Macaca mulatta: one gene and its partners. Each later gene encodes a partner of the first gene's protein in a complex. Links are inferred from orthologs where the notes say so. Each region holds a gene or a part of one and is shown in the gene's direction. Other genes may lie near its edges. The genes, in order: CTNND1, CDH26 and CTNNA1.

Evidence for each region.
Region 2: CTNND1 (region 1) and CDH26 share a complex: the UniProt entries of both Homo sapiens proteins name them as parts of the cadherin:catenin adhesion complex. The link is inferred for Macaca mulatta from reciprocal best matches to the Homo sapiens genes CTNND1 and CDH26.
Region 3: CTNND1 (region 1) and CTNNA1 share a complex: the UniProt entries of both Homo sapiens proteins name them as parts of the cadherin:catenin adhesion complex. The link is inferred for Macaca mulatta from reciprocal best matches to the Homo sapiens genes CTNND1 and CTNNA1.

The regions. Positions count from the first base shown.
Region 1 is NC_133419.1:15,586,346-15,589,996, reverse strand, and holds part of CTNND1 (catenin delta-1), read left to right. Parts: intron 1-554; coding exon 555-708; intron 709-1,584; coding exon 1,585-1,653; intron 1,654-3,102; coding exon 3,103-3,230; intron 3,231-3,332; coding exon 3,333-3,483; intron 3,484-3,651. UniProt on the Homo sapiens protein: Key regulator of cell-cell adhesion that associates with and regulates the cell adhesion properties of both C-, E- and N-cadherins, being critical for their surface stability.
Region 2 is NC_133415.1:112,781,606-112,785,256, forward strand, and holds part of CDH26 (cadherin-like protein 26), read left to right. Parts: intron 1-53; coding exon 54-196; intron 197-1,909; coding exon 1,910-2,149; intron 2,150-3,463; coding exon 3,464-3,651. UniProt on the Homo sapiens protein: Cadherins are calcium-dependent cell adhesion proteins. They preferentially interact with themselves in a homophilic manner in connecting cells; cadherins may thus contribute to the sorting of heterogeneous cell types.
Region 3 is NC_133411.1:147,648,367-147,652,017, forward strand, and holds part of CTNNA1 (catenin alpha-1), read left to right. Parts: intron 1-766; 5' UTR 767-768; coding exon 769-873; exon of another isoform or gene 874-928; intron 929-2,022; exon of another isoform or gene 2,023-2,048; coding exon 2,049-2,244; exon of another isoform or gene 2,245-2,266; intron 2,267-3,651. UniProt on the Homo sapiens protein: Associates with the cytoplasmic domain of a variety of cadherins. The association of catenins to cadherins produces a complex which is linked to the actin filament network, and which seems to be of primary importance for cadherins cell-adhesion properties.

The DNA.
Region 1 (3,651 bases):
CAACCTCTCCCTCCTGGGTTCAAGCGATTCTCCTGCTTCAGCCCCTGAGTAGCTGGGATTATAGGCACCTGCCACCATGCCCAGCTAGTTTTTGTATTTTAGTAGAGACAGGGTTTCACCATGTTGGCCAGGCTGGTTTTGAACTCCCGACCTCAGGTGATCCACCTGCTTCAGCCTCCTAAAGTGCTGGGATTACAGGTGTGAGTCACTGTGCCCAGCTTTTTTTTCTTTTTTTAAAAATCTGTCACCTATATATTTTAAAGCTGCTTAGCTGTCTTCCAAAATTGTACATTGTCTAAGTAGTAAGAATGATGATCCAAGTTTCAGTCACACACCAAATAGTGGCAGAAGCCAATAAGTCCATAGTTGGGCCTTCCATTAGCCTGAGGCTACAGGGATTTCAAGAAGCCTGGAGCGCTTAAGAGGCATCCTGAGAAGTTATGGATTGGGTTATGCATTTGAATATCAACATTTTAATACCTGAGTCATGGAAACCTGTGGAGAAATCACAACATTCTTTTTTCTCATTGGCCCTTTTATCTTGTGTACCTAAGCTTGTAGAAAACTGTGTTTGCCTCCTTCGGAACTTATCATATCAAGTTCACCGGGAGATCCCACAGGCAGAGCGTTACCAAGAGGCAGCTCCCAATGTTGCCAACAATACTGGGCCACATGCTGCCAGTTGCTTTGGGGCCAAGAAGGGCAAAGGTGAGTCTTGGTTCCTGTTTCTTACTCTTTAATGTGGGACAGGGAAAGGAAGGAACACTTTAGCTTAAGATACAAAATACTTGGCAAGCAATATGGGAGTCTGCCTGGTTACAGATGTCTTTTTGCTTTGCTGCTTCTCCTGTGTTGTGTGCTTCATTCAAGGTTTGGTGGTGGGGTGATGGTGGTGGTGTGTTGGTGGTGATGGTGGTGGTGGTGGTGGTATCAATGAGTGGGGCAGTGGAAAATGAGAACTCAACTAATCTGGGACCTTCTTCCCCATACGTCCTTTGCATTTTCTGTGTTTTTCTTTTCTTCTCTGTGCTTCCCTGCTTATTTGCCCATGATTCTGCTGACATCTTTCTCCTGCATTTTTCTTATTTCTTTTCTCTTCTCTGCTTTCTGCCTTGGGTGATGCACTGGAAGATGAGTGGTTCTCCAGAGGTGAGTGGAGTCTTTTAAGGTGCTTATCTACTTCTAATTTGCATGTTTTGGTTTTAGCTTCCCTAGTATGTCCTTGCCTAACCTTTCCCTGTCTATGCATGTAGGAAAGTTCAGTTGAGGAAGACACTGAAACAGGTTTAGCTCTTTGGAGCTAATAGCTCATGGCATGCTGTTTCTGGGCAGCAGTCCCCATTATCAGAGCTCAGGACAATAGCATCAACAATGGTCATCCTCATCTTACCTATCTGCTGCCTGTTTTCTATCCTTGTTTCTGAATAGTCCCCTGCTGGAACAAGTTGCCCCCACCTGCCCTTTGTCCCTCGTGGTGCATCTGTGATCAAAAGGTTCTGACCGAAGAATGAAAAATGTGCCAGGTGGAATCTTTTCTATTTTAAACTGACTTACCCCTTTTCCTGCCCTTTTTCGTTTTTATAGGGAAAAAACCCATAGAGGATCCAGCAAATGACACAGTGGATTTCCCTAAAAGAACGAGTCCAGCTCGGGGTAAGTTATCTTCTCAGTCTCCAAAGGTCTCATAAACATAGTACAAAGATAAGATATTTGGTAACTTAACAGCAGACTTTATGTAATATGTTTATTGTCCTCTCTTTTCCAACTTACAGACTGAAATGATTGTGAAAGTATTGGGAAGCTGTATAGTATTACAGCAGTAACTTACAAAGGACTACTTGTTAAGGCAGTTATTCAGGTTACTTGAGGATAGAATAAGGTCCTGATGGTAGTCTAGAGCAGAAATTTGGGAACCATAAATGACCACTACAGTGCCTGAGACTTAAACCTCACTTTTAAAAGAAGCTCCTTTACTAAGAAAGATACTTTTTAGGTTGGGGGCAGCAGCTCATGACTGTAATCCCAGCACTTTGTGAGGCTGAGGCGGGCAGGTCACCTGAGGTCAGGCGTTTGAGACCAGCCTGGCCAACATGGTGAAACCCTGTCCCTACTAAAAATGCAAAAATTAGCTGGGCATGGTGGCGGGTGCCTGTAATCCCAGATACTCTGGAGGCTGAGGCAGGAGAATCGCTTGAACCCGGGAGGCGGAGGTTGCAGTGAGTTGAGATCGCGCCACTGCACTCCAGCGTGGGCGACAGAGACTCGTCTCCAAAAGAAAAGAAAAGATAATTTTTACACTTTACTATAAGAAATTTGGATCTTTATATTCATCAATACAGTGAGTCCAAAGTTCACAGCTCTCCATGGATATAAAAATTATAAACGTTTAATCTGTAATGGACCGTCGTAGTAATTGCAAAGATGGGAAGAATGACTGGGTTAAGTTAGAAATAATTGATTTGAGATGAGGAATTTTTAACCTTGAGTGCTGTCAATGAGCTAAATGGAGCCCCTGAGCGCTCATGGTAGAACCAAAGGCAAAGCTATGGGAGAGGAGGCAAGAAGGAAGGAAAGAGAGGAGTTGAGTATAATGAGTTGATATTTGTTCCAATCTTACCATGGATTCATTAGTCTTTTTTTTTTTTTTTGAGACGGAGTCTCACTCTGGCTGGAGTGCAGTGGCGTGAACTCGGCTCACTGCAAGCTCCGCCTCCCAGGTTCACGCCATTCTCCTGCTCTTAGCCTCCCGAGTAGCTGGGACTATAGGCGCCCGCCATCACGCCCAGCTAATTTTTTGTATTTTTAGTAGAGACGGGGTTTCACCGTGTTAGCTAGGATGGTCTCAATCTCCTGACCTCGTGATCTGCCCGCCTTGGCCTCCTAAGTGCTGGGATTACAGGTGTTGAGCCACTGCGCCTGGCCTCATTATTCTTAAGACATGGAATTTGGCCTCTAAATTTGCTGTAGAGAGTGTGAGAGAGTTTAGGGAACCTGATGGTATAGAACATCAATCGGGAGTATTAAGGCTGAACTCCAGCCAGCTAGAGCCTGGTTTATTGGTACTGATTAGCACCTTCTGCCTTCTTTTTCTCTTTTGTGCAGGCTATGAGCTCTTATTTCAGCCAGAGGTGGTTCGGATATACATCTCACTTCTTAAGGAGAGCAAGACTCCTGCCATCTTAGAAGCCTCAGCTGGAGCTATCCAGAATTTGTGTGCTGGGCGCTGGACGGTAAAGTACCTTTTAGAAAATGGATTTGGAGATGGGAAAACTTAGATAACTAGTTTGCTGCCATTTGTAATTTGTTCTACCCCTTTCTATGTGCTATTCTAGTATGGTCGATATATCCGCTCTGCTCTGCGTCAAGAGAAGGCTCTTTCTGCCATAGCTGACCTCCTGACTAATGAACATGAACGGGTGGTGAAAGCTGCGTCTGGAGCACTGAGAAACCTGGCTGTGGATGCTCGCAACAAAGAATTAATTGGTGAGGAGTTGAATGCTAACTATTACCTCAAAATTTAGTACAGTGTTTGTAGTCCAGCAGATGCCTATAATTTATTGAATTTATTGAAATGACTGAAGGGAAGGACCCTCCCCCGCTTCATAGTTCATGAATGCGAGAGTTGGTAAGGGTTTTAATTTAATGGTTCTT
Region 2 (3,651 bases), on another chromosome or scaffold:
TTTTGATGTAAGTTTTTAATTTTAAAAATTGCCATCCGTTTTCCTTCTACAAGATATAAACGGGTTCAAGACCCAGCAAACTGGGTCAGCGTAGATGAAAACTCCGGAGTGGTCACCACCGTGGAGCCAATTGACCGAGAATCCCCTCATGTCAATGACAGTTTTTATATAATCATTGTTCACGCTGTTGATGATGGTGAGTGTTTACCCAAAATTGGAAAAATAAAATGCTCATTCTTGCTTCCTGCGGGAAAGTAATCCTGGTGAGAGTCTTTCAGCACAGCTGAGAAAAGGATAAAATAAACCTTGTTATCACTCTGCATCCATGCTGGTGATTATTTTTGGTAGTAATTCTCGAAATGGTAAACAAGGGACCAATACCATCGAAAGAGGGCAGTATTCATTCAGAGGAGACAATTAAATCAGCAAGGAGGCTGCAATCAAACCCAACATCTTTTTCATCTGTTCATGAGCTAACTCTTTAGCTCTTTGTCAAAGCCGATGGTGTGTGATATTTAGCACAGCTTCCCTGTGCTTGGGATGGCATACGAGCTCAGGTAAATGGGACAGTAAGGGACACATTTGTCATCAACCAGGATGGGAGGTTTTATGAGCATGTTTCAGCACTTTTCTCTATGCTCTCCTAAGGCTGAATCTTTAAACACACCAAAACAAAGTTGAAGAAATAAAAATGTTCAAATAACTTTAACACTGTATTTAAGAAAGTCTGTGAACTAAAACCCAAGCTCCAAGTGATATGTCGCTGTACGTTCCACTCTGTAATTAACTAGTGGAATATTGGGGGTGGGGGGCAATGGAGATAGGAAACACGGATTCCTAATCAGTATTAAGGGAGGAGAAAAAGTGGGGCCAGTGTTTCAGGGCTCCCTCATTCTGTTATGGATGATTTTATAATGGGTACTCTTTTTTTTTTCTGTTTATTTTTTGCTTTTCGTATTTCAAAAGCTTTTGGGGTACAAGTGGTTTTTGGTTACGTAGATGAATTATGCAGTGGTGAAGTCTAAGATTTTAGTGCACCGGTCACCTGAGTAGTGTACTTTGTATACAGTGTGAGGTTTCTTATCCCTTGGCTCCCTCCTCCCCTGCTTCTGAGTCTCCAGAGTTCCTTATATCACTCGCTTAGCTCTCACTTACAAGTGAGAACATACAGTATTTGGTTTTCTATTCCTGAGTTATTCACTTAGAAGAATGGCATCCAGCTCTATCCAAGTTGCTGCAAAAAAACATTATTTCATTCTTTTTTATGGCTGAGTAGTATTCCATAGTATACATATGCCACATTGTCTTTATCCACTCATTGGTCAATGGGCACTTAGGTTGGCTCCTATTTGCAGTTGTGAATTGATGATTGCCACTTTTTAAATTAGAAAAAGTCCTTTTAGATAATTGTAGATTCACTTGCAGTTTTAAGAAATAATCTAGTGGATCCTGCGTATCCTTTGCCAGTCTCCCCCAGGGGCAACACCTTGCAGGACTACAGTGTAATCTCGTAACCAGGACATCAACGCGGAGATGCAGCGCATTTGCCTCTCCTCAGGGACCCCCATGGGGCCCTTCTTTAGTCACACCCATTTTCCTCCACCCCACCCATCCTTAACGCCTGGCACCATTGATCGACCTTTTGTTTGTTTAATGATGCCACATTCTACCTTGTTCTACAAATGATTTGAGGTGGTAAGTGCTTTATTAGCTTACCTTACCCAGATATTCTGAATGTTCATAAAAGCAGGAAAATAGATCATCACATGCATGCCAGGAGAGTTGATTTGAAAGGGAAACAGTTCTAGTATTTCAGGAATATTTGTTTTCTGAGAGACGGAGAGTGCTCCTTCTCCAGGGCTCTGTGTGCACGAGATAACCAACTCCTGAAACTTCCTCCCCGTACAAGGCTTCCCCCCGCAGACTGCTACAGGGACCCTAATGCTCTTCCTGTCTGACATCAATGACAACGCCCCGACTCTCCGGCCACATTCCCGCTACATGGAGGTCTGTGAGTCTGCCGTGCATCAGCCCCTCCACATCGAGGCAGAGGATCCGGACCTGGAGCCCTTCTCTGATCCATTTACATTTGAATTGGACAACACCCTGCGAAACGCAGAGGACACATGGAAGTTGGGGAAAAATTGGGGTGAGTTTTTGTACTGGTCACGGGCAAAGAGTGGAAAATGACAGACATCCAATTGAAACAGTTTTAGGCAAAAAAGGACTTTATTAGCTTAAAAAGCCAGAGAAGTCTGTTCTGGCAGAGCTGGCTCTAGGTGCTCAAAGGATATCCCTGGAAGCCACCTTCCCACACACGGTCTGCTTTTCTCTGGGTTCCTTCACTTTTAGGAACCTCTCCTCATCAGGGGGTAGGAGGCTGCTGGGAGTCCCTGAGACATATCCTAACATCTGGCAAGAAGGGTGTTTCCCAGGAAGCTCCAGGATTGATGTCACAGTTTGACCTGGGTCAGCTGCCCTGTCAATCACTGTAGGTGGGACTTAGGAGGGCAGACGTGCTGATTGACTGGTTCCCAGCCCACACCTGGACCTTGTTGGGATCTGGGCTCAGCCTCTCCTGATTCATACTGAGAATTTGGGAAGTGTGGGCTTCCCTAAAGAAACACTGGGGCACTGTTATCAGAAGATGAACCTGCTGAGCAGGTTAAAAGCAACTGGCACCCTCTGTCAACACTCTCCTCTGTGCCTCTAGCCATGGCATCTGTAGACTGTGGCACGGTTTCAGCTCAGACCTGGAGTGTATGGTGAAGAACTTCACCTTGCCCAAAGAGAGGTCTGGTCTTTGTCCTTGGGGTCTGGGTGATCTCTATTGGGATATCATGTCTGATACCGGTGTCTCTTTACCTGGGTGTCTTGAGCTGAGCCAGACAGGGGCAATGTGATTTAGATTGGGGACTTCTAGTCACATAGTGTCAGTTGACTACCAGAGAGGTTGGAGACTGAGGCCACCCACCTGGGAGGCCCACCAGGTTTCCTGACCAAGCCCCAGGAGGACACTGGAGCCTGAGGCTCAGGTGAACGTCCCTGACTGCAGCATCCCATGTGTGCTGTCCCTCACTGATGCTGACCTGGCTTCTCAGGAGAGGATGATGAGAAGCTCTGACATTGGTGCTTTTCTGAACTCTGCCCTAGGTGCCTCTTTCCTTGTCTGATTTTCATCTGTATCTTTTCCTTGTAAAAAACGGCACCATCGCTGTAACAACTTTCAGTGTGTTCTGTGAGTCTTTCTAGAGAATTGTTGAACCTGAGGGTGGTCTTGGGAATCCATGAACTTGCAGTTGGTGTCAGAAGTGAGGGTGCCCTTGGGGACCCCTCCCTCTAACTCTGCAGTTGGCTTACGTTCATACAGAGCTTGGCCTGTGCAGGGCATTTAGTAAGCGTGCATTGAGCAGATGAGCAGATGAGTGAGTCGATGCATGCCATGTTCTTTTTCCCTTTGCAGGTCAGTCAGTTGAACTTTTAACCTTGAGAAGCCTGCCACGTGGTAATTACTTGGTGCCACTCTTCATTGGAGACAAACAGGGACTTTCCCAGAAGCAAACTGTCCATGTAAGGATCTGCCCCTGTGCCAGTGGGTTCACGTGTGTGGAGCATGCAGATGCAGGAGTGGGGCTTCTTGTGGGGGCCCTG
Region 3 (3,651 bases), on another chromosome or scaffold:
AGATACTACTATACCATAAATGTTGTGGAGTAGGAAAAATCAGGATCTTCTGTATTCGTTTTTGAAGCAATGTCTTTGAAAGTAGCTTTCGGCTGGGCGTGGTGGCTCACACCTGTAATCCCAGCACTTTGGGAGGCCAAGGCGGGTGGATCACGAAGTCAGGAGATCGAGACTATCCTATCATGGCTAACATGGTGAAACCCTGTCTCTACTGAAAATGCAAAAAAATTAGCTGGGCGTGGTGGCGGGCGCCTGTAGTCCCAGCTACTTGGGAGGCTGAGGCAGGAGAATGGTGTGTACCCGGCAGGTGGAGCTTGCAGTGAGCCGAGATCACACCACTGCACTCCAGCCTGGGCGAAAGAGTGAGACTCCGTCTCAAAAAAAAGAAAAAGAAAAAAAAAAAAAAAAAAAGGTTTACTTTAGCTTTTCATCTTGTTTCTAAAAGATTGGGCAGATAAACTGAGTAGGAACTGAAGTAGGAAGTCTTGCGCTAGAGAAGCCCAAAGGGAAACGTTCTGTGTGTTTGGGAATGCCCTCTTGTAGTACCCCTAGTATTTGTAAGCCTGAAATGATTAAATTTTAAGAGATTGTAAGGTTTACTGGGTCCTCATGTGCAGGCTAGTTAGAATTTTTTCATCTGTAGTGAATGTAACTTTCCTGATGCAAAAGTCCCAAAGTAGGAGAAGATTTAAGTAGGAGAAGATTTGTTACATATTTCATGTTTGTGTTTGATGTTTGCTTGACTGATTTTTTGTTTCTTTTTTAGAAATGACTGCTGTCCAGGCAGGCAACATAAACTTCAAGTGGGATCCCAAAAGTCTAGAGATCAGGACTCTGGCAGTTGAGAGACTGTTGGAGCCTCTTGTTACACAGGTAAGAATCTGAAAACACAAATACATTGTAACCTGGTTCTATAGTACAGGCCTGGGTAACAACCATAAGAGCAAGGTTATTTAGTTCAAAGCCTTAATTCCAGTACTTGAGTTTAGGTGACAGTTCTTAGATGATTTGAATATTGATGCATGAGTTTGTTTAACCCTTTGAGAACGCTGCTGTGGTCATTTTCTTCGGTCTTATTGCTAGTAACTGGGGTCCGTGGTATGTAGTGCAACTTTGCAAATGTTTGTGCTTTGCAGATACTTCACCTTTCTTTAGAGGGGAAACCCAAGAAAGGTGGGATCTGGATCCTTGATTGTTAAGGTGTCTCACTCTGCTTAACACACCTTTCATTGTGTGGGATTAATTAGCAGGTAATTGAACTTGAGGGTTTAGGTTTGGTATATTATGTTATAAATGTCACAATGTTAGGGTAGTTCATAAACTGTTAGCAACTAGCTGTGTACCTTTAGTGTTTTGCAATAGTGTGTCTGTTGTCTGTATGTGAGAGATTCAGAGAGAGAGAGAAAATGAGTCTTGTTTGGCAAATTTGCACTGTAACATATCTTAATCATCTTTAACCTACAGATCATCCGGTATTATGTGTATTAATGATGGTAATGTTCTAGGACATAAAGCATCATCACTGTAGGCTTCTTTGGGCAGTCATTCCTTTATTAGGGGCCTTTACTAATAAATTGCTGAGATTTGTGTGAATAAACCGTGAAAAGACTTCAGAAGCAAATTATCTTAAAACATTTTGCAAAGTTTGAAAACAGTGGCAGTACGATCTCCAGATAAAGCTAAGTTCATTGTTAACCTATTTCTGGAACATAGAGTGTTCCAGATACTATATGGGTGACATATAGTAGAGACATCTAGCTTGTCTCTAATCATTTTTTAATTTGTAAAATCAAACTAAAAACCTAATGATCATATTTGAGAAATTAAAATATGTGTTAAATAATTCTGTACACATTGAGAAAGCTGAGTTATTTTGGAAATTAAATATAGTATCATTGCTGTATATCTTAAATATGGGGAATTGTATGTTAATGCTCAGTGGAATCTCATAAATGTGATTTTTTTAAAGAATAACTTAATCTTGCTATCTTTAAAGATATTAGTCATTTTAATTGACTCCAGTTTAATGTTAAAAATGAAACTTTTAGGTTACAACCCTGGTAAACACCAATAGTAAGGGGCCCTCTAATAAGAAGAGAGGTCGTTCTAAGAAGGCTCATGTTTTGGCTGCATCTGTTGAACAAGCAACTGAGAATTTCTTGGAGAAGGGGGATAAAATTGCGAAGGAGAGCCAGTTTCTCAAGGAGGAGCTTGTGGCTGCTGTAGAAGATGTTCGAAAACAAGGTAGGTCATTACTGCTTTTCATGTAAAGAGAGGCAGGCCTTTCTAGAAAATAAGTGTTTGAAGGAGATTTTTTTTGTGGTCAGTATTCTCAGTTCTCATGCTTGCCAATTGCTCAGTAACTTACTCAGTTATTGGAGATGTATTAACTTGGACTGGATCATATTTTAATTCTCATTCTCATGCTTGCCAATTGCTCAGTAACTTAGTTATCGGAGATGTATTAAGTTGGACTGGCTCAAATTTTAATCATGAGAGATGCTTGCAAAGGGACATCTGGAGAATCTGAATCCACTTCTCTTGGGTGTTTCAAGTAATAGTTAAGTCTTAGAAATGTTGTAACACAATTTGATAGGAAACGTGGGACAGAAGTTTACCTTTCATTCTATGTAATACTTTTTAATTCATGCTGAAGAGATGGGTGTGATAAAATAGAAAAATACCTACTCTGAAAATACTCTAGAAATTGTTCTGTTATGTCAGATTAGTATGTTAAATCAGCCATGCATATTTGCACTGGTTGGAGCTTGACTTAAATAAATCTGGGCATAAAGGAATCATGTTTTGGGAAACTCAGAATTGATAAAAAGTAAAATGGTAATCCACAGTTTACCAGTAATTAATGCTAGAAAAATTGTCCTTACTGTGTTACAAGTGTGGAAGGAAGACTTTAAATATGGAAAGTAAACTTCTCGAAACCTGCAGTTTTTATTTTTAGTAGAGATGGGGTTTCACCAGTGGCTCATGCTGGTCTCAAACTCCCAAGCTCAAACAATCCACCTGCCTCGGTCTCCCAAAGTGCTGGGATTGCAGGCATGAGCCACAGCCCCCACCCTTGAAACCTGTGGTTTTGTGTTAGGTTTCTATTCCAGTCAGAGAATTTCAACAATGCTGTAGGTTTTTTAGGTTATTGGCTATCAGCTAAGGTAAATTGAGCCCTGCTATTTACAGGTGCTCTACTAGCCCTTGGGAGAACTTCATAGATCTTTCATACCTGATGGTAGATTGCATAGTCCAGAGTCTTATGTCAAATTCATCCTTGTGGCAGTACCCTAAAATGGGCAGTGTCTTAGATGGAGATGACATCTCCAGTTGTTTTCTGAATTTGTGAACAAATAACCTTCAGTGGTAAATATTTTTTCAGTTTTCAGGCTGAAGATAAATATTTCTAATACTGAAAATGAAATTATTAGAATTCCACAGTACTAATTAAGCAGGTATATTAGTTTCCTAGGGCTTCTGTAACATAAACTATGACAAGCTTGGTGGCTTAGAATAATAGAAATTTATTCTCTCATGATTCTGAAGTGCAGAAATCTGAAATCGAGGTGTTGGCAGGCTTGATTCCTTGTTGGGACTTAGGAAGAATCTGTGCATGCCTTTTTCCTAGCTTCTGGTGGTTGCCAGCAG